Linked DNA regions of Stegostoma tigrinum. The protein of the gene in region 2 purifies or fractionates together with the protein of the main gene of each other region. This does not show direct contact. Links are inferred from orthologs where the notes say so. Each region holds a gene or a part of one and is shown on either strand. Other genes may lie near its edges.

Region 1 (7,878 bases), on a different chromosome or scaffold from region 2:
CTGAAATCACCCTCCTGTCTGCAAAAACTACTCAGGAAACCGGAGGAAACCCACTCAGACACCACACAACCAGTTGCCCATGGGTGGAATTGAACCCGGGTCCCTGGCACCGTGAGGCAGCAGTGTTAACCACTGTACCACCGTGCCACCCCATATCTTGAACCAAGGCAAACTGGTCCAATTGCTACTCCTCCCTCCAGACCTTGCCTTAAAGGTCGGAGATGGTTACAAGTTTTACAGCAGTGAAACAGGTCTTTTGTAATTATTTGAATTTCCAATCCCAGAGAGCTATGGAGGCTCAGTCATTGACAGGAATTGACTGATAGATTTTCAGACATTAAAGACATCGAGGGATGGGGTGTAGTGTAGAGATAGTGCAGGAAAACGTAATTGAGGTAAAGGATCAGCTTTAGTGATAATGGGAACTGCAGATGCTGGAGAATCCAAGATAATAAAGTGTGAAGCTGTATGAACACAGCAGGCCAAGCAGCATCTCAGGAGCACAAAAGCTGACGTTTCGGGCCTAGACCCTTCATCAGAGAGGGGGATGGGGTGAGGGTTCTGGAATAAATAGGGAGAGACGGGGAGGCGGACCGAAGATGGAGAGAAAAGAAGGTACGTGGAGAGTAGAGTATAGGTGGGGAGGTAGGGAGGGGATAGGTCAGTCCAGGGAAGACGGACAGGTCAAGGAGGTGGGATGAGGTTAGTAGGTAGGAAAGGGAGGTGCGGCTTGGGGTGGGAGGAAGGGATGGGTGAGAGGAAGAACAGGTTAGGGAGGCAGAGACAGGCTGGGCTGGTTTTGGGATGCAGTCGGGGGGATGGGATGAATTGGGCTGGTTTTGGGATGCGGTGGGGGAAGGGGAGATTTTGAAGCTGGTGAAGTCCACATTGATACCATTGGGCTGCAGGGTTCCCAAGTGGAATGAGTTGCTGTTCTTGCAACCTTCGGGGGGCATCATTGTGGCATTGTTTCCATATTAAGCAGAGGTTCACCTGCACATCTGCCAATGTGGTATACTATATCCATTGTGCCCGGTGTGGCTTCCTCTACTTTGGGGAAACCAAGCAGAGACTTGGGGACCGCTTTGCAGAACACCTCTGCTCAGTTCGCAACAAACAACTGCACCTCCCAGTCGCGAACCATTTCAACTCCCCATCCCATTCTTTAGATGACATGTCCATCACGGGCCACCTGCAGTGCCACAATAATGCCATCCGAAGGTTGCAGGAACAGCAACTCGTGTTCCGCTTGGGAACCCTGCAGCCCAATGGTATCAATGTGGACTTCACCAGCTTCAAAATCTCCCCTTCCCCACTGCACCACATAACCAGCCCAGCTCTTCCCCTCCACCCACTGCATCCCAAAACCAGCCCAGCCTGTCTCTGCCTCCCTAACCTGTTCTTCCTCTCACCTATCCCTTCCTCCCACCCCAAGCCTCACCTCCCTTTCCTACCTACTAACCTCATCCCACCTCCTTGACCTGTCCGTCTTCCCTGGACTGACCTATCCCCTCCCTACCTCCCCACCTATACTCTACTCTCCACCTATCTTCTTTTCTCTCAATCTTTGGTCCGCCTCCCCGTCTCTCCCTATTTATTCCAGAACCCTCACCCCATCCCCCTCTCCGATGAAGGGTCTAGGCCCGAAACATCAGCTTTTGTGCTCCTGAGATGCTGCTTGGCCTGCTGTGTTCATCCAGCTTCACACTTTATTATCAAAGGATCAGCTTTGATCTTTTTGATGTTGGACCAGGTTTGCGGAGACATACAGTCTAATTCTGCACTTATTTCTGATGTTCCCAACCAGTGTACACTTTACACTGGCCTCTTTACATTCACTTAATGTCACCCTATCCACATATTAAATGAGGAGCTTTACTCTGTCCAGCTTGTTGCTGACATCTGATCCATAAAATAGATGCAATGATTCATGTTTTTGCTCAAATTTATCTTCGATGTACCTGTTAAGTTAGTTGCCATTTCTTCTGCAGTTTGAGAAAACTTGGGTCCTTGCTTCAGCGCTCCATCAGAGTCAACATATTGTCTTCTTCGGAGGTAGAGAGCCACTGCTGTCTGAATCTGTTCTGTACGTACACGTTTCATGGTCTAATTATCAACATGAAATAAGATCAATGAAGAACAGTATCGTTTATAACCAATGGATAATGCTGTTGAAATTCAGCAGGTCTGGCAGCATCAGTGGAGAAGGAAGTAGAGTTAATGTTTTGTAATGTTGACTCTGCTCCTCTCCCCACAGATGTGCCAAATCTACTGAGTTTCAACAGCGTTTTCTATGCTTGTTTTAGATTTCCAGCATCCACAGTAACTTAGACTTTATTAAAGTATCTTTTGTGCCAGTCACATTGTCCAGGCGACTAAGCCATCATTACCATTTCTCCGCTCACCAATATCCTGAGCGGCACAAAACAAAACTTTTGGTTTGAAACTGCAGACTCAACTGAAACAGTACTTTTCCGCCCACTGTGCAAGGATGTGGGTGGTGAAGGGAGATGATTGCGGCTGGGGTGTGTGGGAGTCTTGCGGAACGATTAGGAGAAAAGGAGAGATGGGGAGTGGGAGGAGATGGGTTTGGTGTAGGGAGACAAATGAAGGTGGGGAACGGGGGAGAACAAGAGATGGGGCAGGGGATAGGGAGCGGGGGAGGCAGGATGGGAGCGGGGGGGAAACGGGAGATGTTTCTGGAAGGGGGGGTGTGGGTCGGGTAGAGGGTAAGTTTCCCGGTTGGGGAGAGGGGGGGGTGGTCTTTACCCGATCCCGCCTCCCTTAGGCCCGAAGCCGATCCGTTCGCCCCGCACCACCCCCAGCCCCGAGACCGGGAACTTACTGCATGACGGCCTGGCTCCCACAGCGGACGGGGGGGGTGTGTGTGTGTGCCGACAAGGAACACGGCCCAGGCCTCAGGCCGCCCTCGGGTTCGCGCTGGGCTCCGGGCCCGGGCTCGGGGCCTCTCCTCACGGCGCCGCCGCTGCTTTGGCGCCTCCGTTCGGCTTCATGTTGATTGGCTGCGGGGAGGAGGGTGGGGTCAGCGGGGTCAGAGGTTACATGGTGCCGGGGCGGGGGGAAGCACGTGGTGCACCGCGGCCTGGAGCTGGGGAGCGGCAGGTAGGATGTGACTGTGATCTCCCTATTTACTTCAGATCCCCCTTCCCCAGCTCTGAAGGAGGGTCTAGGCCCGAAACCTCAGCCGCTCCTCTGATGCTGCTGTGTTCATCCAGCTCCACACCGTGTTATCTCTTATCTATATAGCTCCCGTGAGTCTAACTATAAATAAGGAACTGACACGTATATATTTATATAGGAACCTAGAGCACTTGGTAACTTATAGGTATAGGCCTGGGAGGTTTTGTAACCGTAAATATATAAGGCGTGGGGGACTGTATGTTGATGTGTGGTACGTTATGTTATATGTGTTGGAGTTGGGAACATGGGGTGACTATAGATATAAATCTGGGAGGTTGTGCAACTTTAAATACAGAAGGCATGGGGTAGTGTATTTAGGAATGTGGTATACTATGTCATATAATGGTTGCAAATGCCCAAAGTCTCATCAGTAAGTTTGCAGATGACATAAAATTGGTGATATTGCCGATTGTGAGGGTCTCGGGCTGCAGTCTGATATTGATCGGCTGGTACATGAGTCTGACAATGGCAGATGAAATTTAGTACATCACACACTGATCAGGACAAAGGGAAGGATTTTTGTGAGTAATAATGGAACAATATATATCATGAATGGTAGATACCTCAGGAGGCTGAGTGGGGTGTGATAGAAGTACACAAAATTGAGATGAATAGACAGTAGATTGTGAGAATCATTTCCCTGTGGGAAACTTGTTTAAAGCCAAAGGACGTAACTTTACTGTGAGGAATAAGTGATTGACAGGAGATGTGAGGAAAAACTTTTTCCACTCGGAGTTTAGTAGAAATATGGAACATATGGGCCAGAAAGGAAGTAAAACGTCAAGAGATGATGTGGAGAAGTAGAATCATGTTACCATTATAATTACGGAACCTGATCCTGACGAGCATGAGAATTGAGAGGGCAAGCCTAGGGTCTTGTAGGAAATGTTGGTCAGCAAAAGAAACTGATGTTCACGTTTCCAATGATTGGATCAATAATTCTGGTGCTGAAGGAGAGGCCTTTGAGGAGGAAGTTTTGAAAACATCATAAAAAGATGCGAGAGATGGTAGGAACTGCCGATGCTGGAGAATCTGAGACAACAGGCTGTAGAGCTGGATGGACATAGCAGGCCAAGCAGCATCAGAGGAGCAGGAAAGCTGACGTTTCGGGTCGAGACCCTTCCTGGATTGAGCTGCGGAGCATTAATGCGCTCTGTGTAACACATTCATCATAGAGCAGGAATTAATTCTGCTTGGTGTTCAAATTTTTCTTGCCACTTAACAGCTCAGCTTAGGCTGGTGAGGTGCGTTTGGGAATAGGCACCTGACGAGTCATGAATGCTGCTGAGCAATTTGCAGTCATCAATGCACTTGAATTTTACATGTTAATCTCTGAGTGGGACCTTGGTGCGAACGCCTGAAAGTCAAACTGCACCAGATTCACTGGCTTACCTTTACCAACTCTCTTAATTACATCCTCCAAAGAAACTCCAATAGATTTGTCAAGCATAAATTTTCTTTCGCACATGCTCCATTATTAAATATTGCATAAAGGACTTGAGCATTTCTCCCAGTACCGATGTTGGGCAAATTAGCCCGTAATTCCCTTTTTTCTCTGTTTAAATAGGGGGATTACATTATCTACACTCCAAATTTAGAGGAACTGTTCGAGTCTATAGAATCTCTAAAAGATTCTTGTTCGTGCATGGACAATTTGTTGTGCCACTTTCTAAAGTGTAGATCTCTGGGCCCCGTTTGGATTTATCAGTCTTTAATTCCATCTTCTTCAGGAATTCCTGCTCTGCACTAATGAATTCAGAAACAAGACCACAATTTGTAATCAGATGAAAGTTGCCCATAAATACAGTTGTACCTTTTTATTGCTTAGATCTCTCTCTAATTACCTGTTTAATGCCTTTCCCAACATCACCAGTACAGTTTGCCGATCTATATGCAACTGTTTTCTGCCCCTTGGTGTTTCTGAGCTTTACCTGTACAGATTCCATTTCATGGGAGTTAGAATCCTTCCTCAGCATTGAGTTAATTCCCTCCTAAAAATGAGCAGCGCTCATCTTTTTTCCTATTTGTCAGCCCTTAATAAAAATGGTTATTACCGTTGGATGTTCAGTCCCATCCCAGGTCATTTGCAACCATATCTTAAGTCTGTGGTCAGCAAGGTTTTGGAAAGAAGTCTGAGGGATAGGATTTATGACTATTTGGTAAAGCATAGCGTGATTAAAGGGAGTCAGCATGGCTTTGTGAGGGGCAGGCCATGCCTCTCAAATCTTATTGAGTTCTTTGAGGAAGTCACGAGACAAGTTGACGAGGGTCGAGCAGTAGATGTGGTGTGCATGGACTTCTTCAGCAAGGCATTTTGATAAGTTTCCCCATGGCAGGCTCATTCAAAAAGTCAGGAGGTATGGGATACAGGGTGATTTGGCTGTCTGGATTCACAATTGGTTGGCTGACAGGAGGCAGAGAATGGTTGTAGATGGTTAGTATTCTGCTTGGAGGTCAGTGCTGAGTGGTGTCCCACAGGGTTCTGTTCTTGGGCCTCTGCTCTTTGTAGTTTTTATAAATGACTTGGATGAGGAGGTTGAGGGGCGGGTTAGCATGTTTGCTGATGACACAAAGGTTGGAGGTGCCGTTGATCGTATCGAGGGCCATTGCAGGCTTCAGCGGGACGTTGACAGAATGCAGAGCTGGGCTGAGAAATGGCAGATGGCGTTCAACCTGGATAAATGTGAAGTGATGCGTTTTGGAAGGTCGAACTTAAATGCTGAATATAGGATTAAAGGCAGGATTCTTGACAGTGTGGAGGAACAGCGGGATCTTGGTGTTCAAGTGCACAGCTCCCTCAAAGTTGCCACCCAGGTGGATAAGGTTGTTAAGAACGCATATGGTGTTTTGGCTTTCATTAACAGGGGGATCGAGTTTAAGAGCTGCGAGGTTATGCTGCAGCTCTACAAAACCCTGGTGAGACCACACTTGGAATATTGTGTCCAGTTCTGGTCACCCTATTATAGGAAAGTTGTGGAGGCTTTGGAGAGGGTGCAAAGGAGGTTTACCAGGATGCTGCCTGGACTGGAGGGCTTGTCTTAGGAGGAGAGGTTGACTGAGATGGGACTTTTCTCTCTGGAGAGAAGGAGGAAGAGAGGTGACCTGATCGAGGTGGACAAGGTAGTGAGAGGCATGGATAGAGTCGACAGCTGGAGACCTTTCCCCAGGGCAGGATTGACTGCCATGAGGGGTCATGGTTTTAAGGTGTTTAGAGGAAGGTATAGAGGAGATGTCAGAGGGAGGTTCTTCACCCAGAGAGTTGTGAGCGCATGGAATAGTTTACCAAAGGTAGTCGTGGAAGCGGAGTCGTTAGTGACATTTAAGTGACTGCTGGACATGCACATGGACAGCAGTGAATTGAGGGGAATGTAGGTTGGGTTATTTTATTTTTGGATTAGGAATATTCCACGGCACAACATCGTGGGCCGAAGGGCCTGTACTGTGCGGTAGTTTTCAATGTTCTATGTTCTATCTCTGTCGTCACAGCTACATCATACCTGTTTATATCTATTTGCATGACCAAATCATCCACTTTATTATGAATGCTTCATGCATTAAAACATAAGGTCGTAATATTTGTCTTTTTAGTGCACTTTGTCCTGTTTGTGTTTTGCACAGTTTGGCCTTGATACCTGCCCTTGAATTTTCTGTCTTCTCATCTTTTTTTTGTTTTTGTTCATGTTTCCTACTCTTCAGTCTGCCTGTATAAGTTCCCATTCCACTTATCCATTAGCTCCATAATACTGCATTCATGACATAGCATGTTGATAATGAGTGTATCGTTGCACCTAAGTTTTGGCTTCACATATATTTAAACTTTTTTTAAGTAGGGTTAATTTTGTAATGCATGCATGGAGCAAGCTGCAAGTTATTCTAATGTTGCTGCTGAGTGTGTTTATTCGTAAGCATATTGTCCAAAATCTCGACAATTGAAGTGAATTTTTAGTTTGCAATTTAAAATTGCAGGAGATGGTATGGAGGGGAGGTCTTATGAGGAAAGGCTGAGGGACTTGAGGCTGTTTTCATGAGAGAGAAGAAGGTTGAGAGGTGACTTAATTGAAACATATAAAATAATCAGAGGGTTAGATAGGGTGGATAGGGAGAGCCTTTTTCCTCGGATGGTGACGGCGAGCACGAGGGGGCATAGCTTTAAATTGAGGGGTGAAAGATATAGGACAGATGTCAGAGGTAGTTTCTTTACTCAGAGTAGTAAGGGAATGGAACGCTTTGCCTGCAATGGTAGTAGATTCGCCAACTTTAGGTACATTTAAGTCGTCATTGGACAAGCATATGGATGTACGTGGAATAGTGTAGGTTAAGATGGGCTTGAGATCGGTATGACAGGTCAGCACAACATCGAGGGCCAAAGGGCCTGTACTGTGCTGTAATGTACTATATATATTGGAGTTTGGAACACTGGGTAACTATAGATATAGGTCTGGGAGGTTGTGCAACTGTAAATATATAATGGATGCGGTGAGTATATAACTGTGTATAGGTATGTGGTACATTTTGTCATATGTAGGAGTCTGGAATGCTGGGTACCCATAGATGTAAGTTTGGTAATTGTATAACCATATATAGATAAGGAATGGGGGAATCTGCACAGCTGTGTTTAAGCATGCTGGGCATTGTCATAGGTAAAGGACTCTGGAATGCTGAGTAACCATAGATATA
Region 2 (7,753 bases):
CCAGGGTGCCTGGTACTATGTGAACCAAAGAAACCTACAGCACAGGAACAGGCCCTTCGGCCCTCCAAGCCTGCGCCGATCAAGATCCTCTGTCTAACCTGTCATCTATTTTCTAACGGTCTGTGTTCATTTGCTCCCTGGCCATCCATGTACCTGTCCAAATATATCTTAAAAGACGCTAACGTGTCTGCGTCTACCACCTCCACTGCCAACGCATTCCAGGCGCCAACCACCCTCTGTGTAAAGAACTTTCCACGCATATCTCCCTTAAACTTTCCTCCTCTCACTTTGAACTCATGACCCCTAGTAATTGAGTGCCCCACTCTGGGAAAAAGCTTCTTGCTATCCACCCTGTCTATACCCCTCATGATTTTGTAGACCTCAATCAGGTCCCCCCTCAATCTCTGTCTTTCTAATGAAAATAATCCTAATCTATTCAACCTCTCTTCATAGCTCGCACCCTCCATACCAGGCAACATCCTGGTGAACCTCCTCTGCACCCTCTCCAAAGCACCCACATCCTTTTGGTAATGTGGCGACCAGAACTGTACATAGTACTCCAAATGTGGCGGAACCAAAGTCCTATACAACTGCAACATGACCTGCCAACTCTTGTACTCAATACCCTGTCCAATGAAGGAAAGCATGCCATATAGCTTCTTGACCACCCTATTGACCTGCGTTGTCACCTTCAGGGAACAATGGACCTGAACACTCAGATTTTCCTGTTCATCAATTTTCCCTAGGACCTTTCCATTTACTGTATGGTTCGCCCTTGAATTTGATCTTCCAAAATGCATCACCTTGCATTTGCCCGGATTGAACTCCATCTGCCATTCATCTGCCCAACTCTCCAGTCTATCTATATCCTGTGCTGTAGGTTTCGTTGAAGCAAGAAGTGGTGTGATATTGCACCTATAACATCATTAACAGCCTTAATATGTTTGTGGGTTAAGATTTGAGATTCTATACAAGTCCGCAGTGGCTGCTTCGAAACAGTAGCCACTGGGATAGGATGGCTACGCAACCCATCAGGTAGCATGTCCCGATACAATATTTGGTATAATCCTGTGATAGTGTCCTTGGACATCGTTATCCAGTGTTAGCACCATCCCTTGTTCATCTGGTGGAGGCGACACAGACAGATCTCCTGCATTTCCTCCACATCCTGAGGGTACCTCTGTTGTGACTTCTTCATATGATCTTTGATTAACACCCCACATCTTGTTTTTGAGTGGACAGACCCCAGGCTGACTGTGGCACACATCCCTGGCCACCTTCAAAAGACAGCCTTGGTTGCTGAGTGACTAGACACCTGATGGAGCTGAACAGATTCTCTATTAAATAATTCCTAGCATGGTTAAACGGGTTCAGCAGGCTGACCACGTCCACTCCCCTGACTGTAATGACATGGAACACCTGTCCCTGAATACCCCAAATGGCTGACTGACTGAGTCCAAGCCTCTAGCAGAGATCAGACGATGCTCTCTGATGAAGGGTCTAGGCCTGAAACGACAGCTTTTGTGATCCTGAGATGCTGCTTCACCTGCTGTGTTCATCCAGCTTCACATTTGGTTATCTTGATGCCTATGACTGGCTCTGCTGACACTGCCTGACTGATAAGCGTGTGGCCATTCGGTTGAAGTACATTCACCAGGTTTGCCCCATAAGCTGCTGACACATGCAGTAGGCACAAAATCAATGTGACAAAGTTCTATAACAGCAAAGTATCCACTGCTGTTCTGAATGTGGTACTGCATTTTTGTCTTCAGCGCAAGATTCCATGGTTAGGTCTTCCCACTCCAATCGTAGTGTAGTCTTTCGGACCTCTGTGGAAACACGACATCTCTTCCTTCTCACCCTCTTAATTAAGGTCTCCATCTAGAGGATCCGGGAGCCCGACTCTCAAGGCTGCGGCTCCTTTGGTACTTTATTTAAGAACATATGCAGGCAAGCTGTATCGTGCACTAGCCTCGCCCATACTGGGACCTCCTGCTGTACATGCAGCCAGTCAGCTGGACTTGGCAACATGCTACAATCACTGTGATGAAACTACAGTTTTCACCACTTCATCTGGGTGCAAGGTATATTACAGTTCCTAAGTCAAAGAAAGAAACACATCAAATTATTTGACAAGAGGTCAATGTTTAGTTGCACTTTTTTGAGCAAAAATTGGCAATTTACAACTAAGATTTGGCATTTCACCAGTGCTAAAAGTCAAACTGATCTTTTTTCTGACAATATTCATAGTACACCATTTAACACCAGGACTTACCACAACAGTAGGTGGGAAAATTACAGGAGTGTGACATTACAACCATAAAACCTGTCATCGAATTTTAGAAAGTGACACAGCATGTAGCGATCCTAACATTGTTTACAACACATAAGTGCCAGATACCGAAACAAACCCGCCCCCTATTGCAAAACAAGCCGACCTGACACGAATACAGTCAAAACAAAATTAATTCTGACATGTCACTTCATCGTAGAGGAGCCTGTTTTAAAAGAGATTTCAGTTTGTTTGCTGGGGGTGCCCGGGCCCCGTGTTTCGCCCCCCACACCCCGCGCTCAGATCAGCAGGTTCCAGTGGGTACCTTGCAGGCGGAATAGACGCCGAGCTTTTCCAGCTTCTTTGTCCGGGGGTAGTTGCGAAGCTGCGCCTTCCTCAGCGCAATCCTCTCCCGCTGCTGCTGCTGACTTCCCGCGGCGGCGGAACGGCCGCTCGCTGCAACTGCGGCGCAGCTGACAACCGGCAGAGCCAGCGACACCGGCACAGGAGGCACCGAGTCCGAGGAAACGACACAGACCGCCGGCGATCCCTGCTGCAACCCGGCTACTCCTCCTCCTCCACCACCGCCGCCACTCTCCGCCATGGCTCCCAGCTGCTCTGTACGTGCAGAGCTGTGTTGTGCTTTTTTTTAAGGAAGTGATCCGGGCTGGAATGGTGACCACAGCGGTGGTGCTGGTGGTGGCAGCTCACTCATTGCCCTGCCTCCCTGTACACTATGTAGTCCACGGCGTTTAGCAGCACCCCGCCAGGGGCGGTACAGAGCACAAACTGACACAGCTGTTGGCTTATTTTTATTCAATTCACTTCAAATGAGAAAAAGAAAGCAACATGTCAAAAGAAAATTTATGGCTGCATACTGGAAACACTAACACAATGACAATCAAAGGATAAATAAACAAGCAGCGCAGTTAAACATTTCTTCACTCAGCTCCAAGAGATCAACCTGCTTAAAACTGATAATAATTGCCAGGAATGAACATAACTTACTGGTTTGGTCTTTTATGTTGTTTTGCTTGTATTAGTTCAACATGAGGCGCCTTCTTAAGGCTGTTTATACCAAGTACGTTAAGCTTGTGCGTTCAATTGGCATTGTTCAGTACTGCCTCCGGATTTAACAAACAACATTATAAAAGCAAAAGACTGTGGGCGCTGCAGATATGACATTTTTAAAAAAGGAAGTGCTAAGACAGACCTAACGTTTAGACATGGAAAGCTTCTTTAGCAAAAAAAAGTTTATTACAAACTACAAATTTTCTGAGGCTATGGACATAATGCAAAATAGAATTTAAAATATACCCCAGCAATTCAACTGAAAACCTGGATAGTTTGTAATCTTTAATTTCTGTAATATCAGCACAGTCCCGAATTGCTTAGTTTGTTTTTCCACCATCAGTAAATTTTATTTACTATTCGTTGACCAATGGATATGGTTCCAAATGTATGTTTTCTCTGGTCAAATTGTATTGAACAGCAATATAGATAGTTGTTTAAAACTTTCTTCTTCGATGAATGACATTGATAAAGTTGCATTTTGTGCCCAATCCCAGTTATCTCAAAAAATTGTTTTTATTGTTCAGTAATGTGCTAAGCAATTAAAGTCAACTGTGAAGGCACATGTAAATTAAACCAGAGAGGAGTTCTGTTTTAGAGGGTGGATTATTCCATGGGGTGGAGGTAGGTTGCAAAGCAAGAACGTCAGCAAGTTTCTTGCAGGAATTTCGTGGAGGACGGTCTACAGCCATGACTGCATGTCATCATGTTTAGGAACTCCACCTCCACAATGATGACCCAGCAGATTTAGTCACACTTTATTTTAAACGTTTTCCAAGCCTACAGAGGATGCCTTCATTTTGAGGCATTCTCAAGGTCTCCTTCATGCATTGGAAAGTCACCTCCGTCAGTGGGGACTCCCTGCTTCAACAGTCCTCCTTCCATCCCTAATTGGACAAAGCTCTCACAGAAAGATTGTTTTTGGCCAACAGTTGGATAATGGTGCAGGTGAGCAGACCTCATATATTCTTGGGTTTAAGACCAGCATATAGTCCCCTTGTCAGAACCCAACACCTATTTTATTCAATCCAGTGAATCAGTTGGAGTTTTGCAGTAGTCCAGCAGCTTTCAGAATTCGCTGAAACTAGTTTGCCATAGTACAAACTTAATTCACAATTTTCCTAGTATTTGTATATATTACCTAGTTCAGTGCCATAACTATGAGGTCACCATACTCAATAATCACAAGACTCATTAGCACCCCTCATGTTGATTGTAGTTCAGCAGCTCTTGTCATTGATTTCTTGCCAGTGATAACTAGATTTTAAGTTCAGCTTAGAAAATACATACAGTCAGTTTCATCATCATCATCAGGTGCGCTCTACCAAAGGCACAACCTTGGCTCTTTATAATCTTTCTGCATCATTCTACTTTGTTCCAATATTTTCATTTGACAATAATTTACTTTAATTTTCAAGCCATCTCACATTGATATTCTCTCCCTTACTCTTTTTTTTCCGTGATATTTTCTCTCCATAACATCTCATACAAGTCTGTTTCTTCCTAAACTATGCCTTACCCGGCCTTTTCATAATTACATTCAATAACTTCTTGTTGATTCATACTGCACACAAACTTAGCACTTGCTTTTTCTATCCAATAGATCGATTCCATTCTCCTCCAAACTAAGACTTTAAAACTATTTATCAAGTAGGTCTCCTCCTTCCATAAAGTCCATGCTTTGTATCAATGCAAAACAACATTCCAAATCAAACTCTCACAAGGGTTTTTTGAGTAATTCGTTGTTTTCCAGTTACCAATTGTCTCTCCTTACAAAATATAGGCTTTCCCAATGTTATTCTTGTTTAGATTTCTTTGTTGCATTTGCCATCTGCAGATATTATGCTTCATGAATACCTGAAGCCTTTCAGTTGTTCTATGAATTCATAAACATTTCTTGGTTATTTTGAAATTTGGTATTTCTTTTGTTTGCCAATATTCATTTTCATTCCAATGTTCCTACCTCCTGTTACCAGTCTGTAAGTACTTGTAACAGTTCTTTTGCTCTTGCTACAAGTAGTTTGTCATCCCCAAACCTAACTAATGTTATCATTCATCCCACCCTTCCCTACGATCATAACACCAGATCCTGTGTCTTCAATGATTCTTTAATCATTGACTATAACATAGAATGGTACAACACATGAAGAGGCTCGTTGGCCCACACTGTTGTGCTGAACATGACGCCAAATTAAACTAATCCCTTCTGCCCGCCTGTGGTACATATTCCCCATTCCTTGTTTATTCATGTGCTTATCTAAAAGCCGCTTAAATCCCGCTATCATATCTGCCTCCACCACTACCCCTGGCAGTGCGGACCAGACTCCTCCCACTATGTATAAAAAAAAACTCACACCTCCTTTGAACTTTCCCCCTCTTAGCTTAATTGCATGCCCTCTAGTGTTAAACATTTCAATTCTGGGAAAAAGATTCTGACTCTCAAACCTGTCTCTGCCTCTCACAGTTTTATAAACTTTATAAACTTCAGGAATTTGCAATGACATTGAACAGGACTATGCCTATGTCTATAATCAGTTTATTTTTGTAATAATCTTGTTTAAGAATCATGTGAATTCCCAGAATTTGGGATGATTACTGGAAGAAATAACCAAGTGTTATATCATCTGCAATTTCAGTTACTTGTGTGCCAGTTTTTTTTTCAATTTATTCAGTTCTGCTTCAACTTCCTTCCATATAGGAAATGATTTGACGTGAAGGACTTGAGCAACAACAAACTGAATTTACAAATATCAGAAAAATTATACAGTAGAAGTAATATTCATAAATGAGGAAATTGCAAGATTTCATTCAGAATATTTGGCGCTGGAAAACAGAAACTATGGATCTGCAATTCCCGAACTCAATGGCACAAATAATCCAATGTTCACTGGGAAGCAGGATGGGATATGACAGGTTAACAAGAACTTGTAGCCCACAAGGATTTGATCCTATTTAATCCAATTCTTTTAAATCCAGATGTGATACTTTTCCCATTTCTGATATAGCACAGAGGCAGAATTTCAGTACATCATAGGGTAAGTCTTCCAGCTACAACACTGGCATCTGCTCGACAACATTGGAAATTGCCAAGGAAAGTCCTGTACACATAAAAGCTGGCCAAATACAACCTGGCTAATTACTGCTCCATCAGTTTACTACTTATCATTAGTAAACTGATGGAAAGTGTTATCAACAATACTGTAAAGCAATACCTGCCCAGCAAGAACCAGCTCAGTGATGCCCAGTTTGAGTTTCACTAAGGCCACTCAGCTCCTGACCTCATTACAGCCTTGTTTAGAATAGGGGGAAAAAAAGTGAATTTTAGAGGTGAGGCGGCAGTGACAGCCCAAGGCTACATTAGACTGAGTATGGCATCAAAGAGCCTTTGCAAAAGTTGATGTCATTGGGAATTAGGGGGAAAAGTCTCTACTGACTTTTCTGGAGTCACACCTGGGCACACAGCTAGAGGTGAAAACAGAAATTGCTGGAAAAGCTCAGCAGGTCTGGCAGCATCTGCGGAGGGAAATCAGAGTTATTGTTTTGGGCCCAGTGACCCTTCCTCAGAACTGATCCATCATGTCATGCCCAAAATTCATTCAAGTGGGGACAAAGAGGATAAAACTGAGACCTTTGCTGAGTATGGAATGTTCAGCATTGGACAACGGAAGGTCAGGAGGGATAATAAATACACCATAAGAGGTGGGGTTGGGAGAGGGAAGGGCCAAGGGTATATCTAAGTGTACCATGGGTTGTTCGGAAGAAGGTTGTAGTTGTTGGAGGTCAGTCATCTCAGCCCCAGGACATCTCTGCAGGAATTCCTCAGAGTTCTGTCCTAAGTCCAAACATCTTTAGCTGCTTAATTAATAACCTATTGTCCATTATAATATCAGTAATGGGGATGTTTGCTGATGATTACACATTGTTCAGCACCATTTGTGACTCATCAGATATTGAGTACGTCCATGCCCAAATGCAACAGGCTTGGGCTGAAAAGTGGCAAGTATTATTTGCTCCACACAAATGCCAGGCAATGATCATTTCCAATAAGAGGAAATCCATCCACTGCCCCTTGTTACTCAATGGCGTTACTATCACTGAATCCCTCACAGTCAACATCCTAGGAGTTACCATTGACCAGAATCTCAACTGGACTCACCATATAATAGTAGCTACAAGGGCAGCCCAGAGCCTAGGAATACTGCAGTGAATAGCTCACCTCCTGACTCCCCAAAGCCTGTCAACCACCTACAAGGCACGAGTCAGGACTGTGATGAAACATTCCCACTTGCCCGAATGAGATCAACTTCAGGAAGCAACCCACTTGATTGATACCATATCCACAAAAATCTATACCCTCCACCACCAACACACAGTAGCAGCAGTGTGTACTATCTCCCAGATGCACTGCAA

The links. Proteins that work in one complex are often made in the same cells at the same time.
Region 1: the proteins of kat2b (region 2) and taf5l purify together in Homo sapiens (affinity purification with mass spectrometry; 5 studies listed by BioGRID and IntAct, with this or other methods). This does not show direct contact. The link is inferred for Stegostoma tigrinum from reciprocal best matches to the Homo sapiens genes KAT2B and TAF5L.

Annotation. Positions count from the first base shown.
Region 1 is NC_081362.1:15,605,735-15,613,612, forward strand, and holds the start of taf5l (TAF5-like RNA polymerase II p300/CBP-associated factor-associated factor 65 kDa subunit 5L), read right to left. Parts: upstream 3,016-7,878; 5' UTR 2,846-3,015; intron 2,613-2,845; coding exon of another isoform or gene 2,607-2,612; exon of another isoform or gene 2,572-2,606; intron 2,107-2,571; 5' UTR 2,104-2,106; coding exon 1,962-2,103; intron 1-1,961. UniProt on the Homo sapiens protein: Functions as a component of the PCAF complex. The PCAF complex is capable of efficiently acetylating histones in a nucleosomal context. The PCAF complex could be considered as the human version of the yeast SAGA complex.
Region 2 is NC_081355.1:106,167,736-106,175,488, reverse strand, and holds the start of kat2b (histone acetyltransferase KAT2B), read right to left. Parts: upstream 3,009-7,753; 5' UTR 2,877-3,008; coding exon 2,598-2,876; intron 1-2,597. UniProt on the Homo sapiens protein: Functions as a histone acetyltransferase (HAT) to promote transcriptional activation. Has significant histone acetyltransferase activity with core histones (H3 and H4), and also with nucleosome core particles.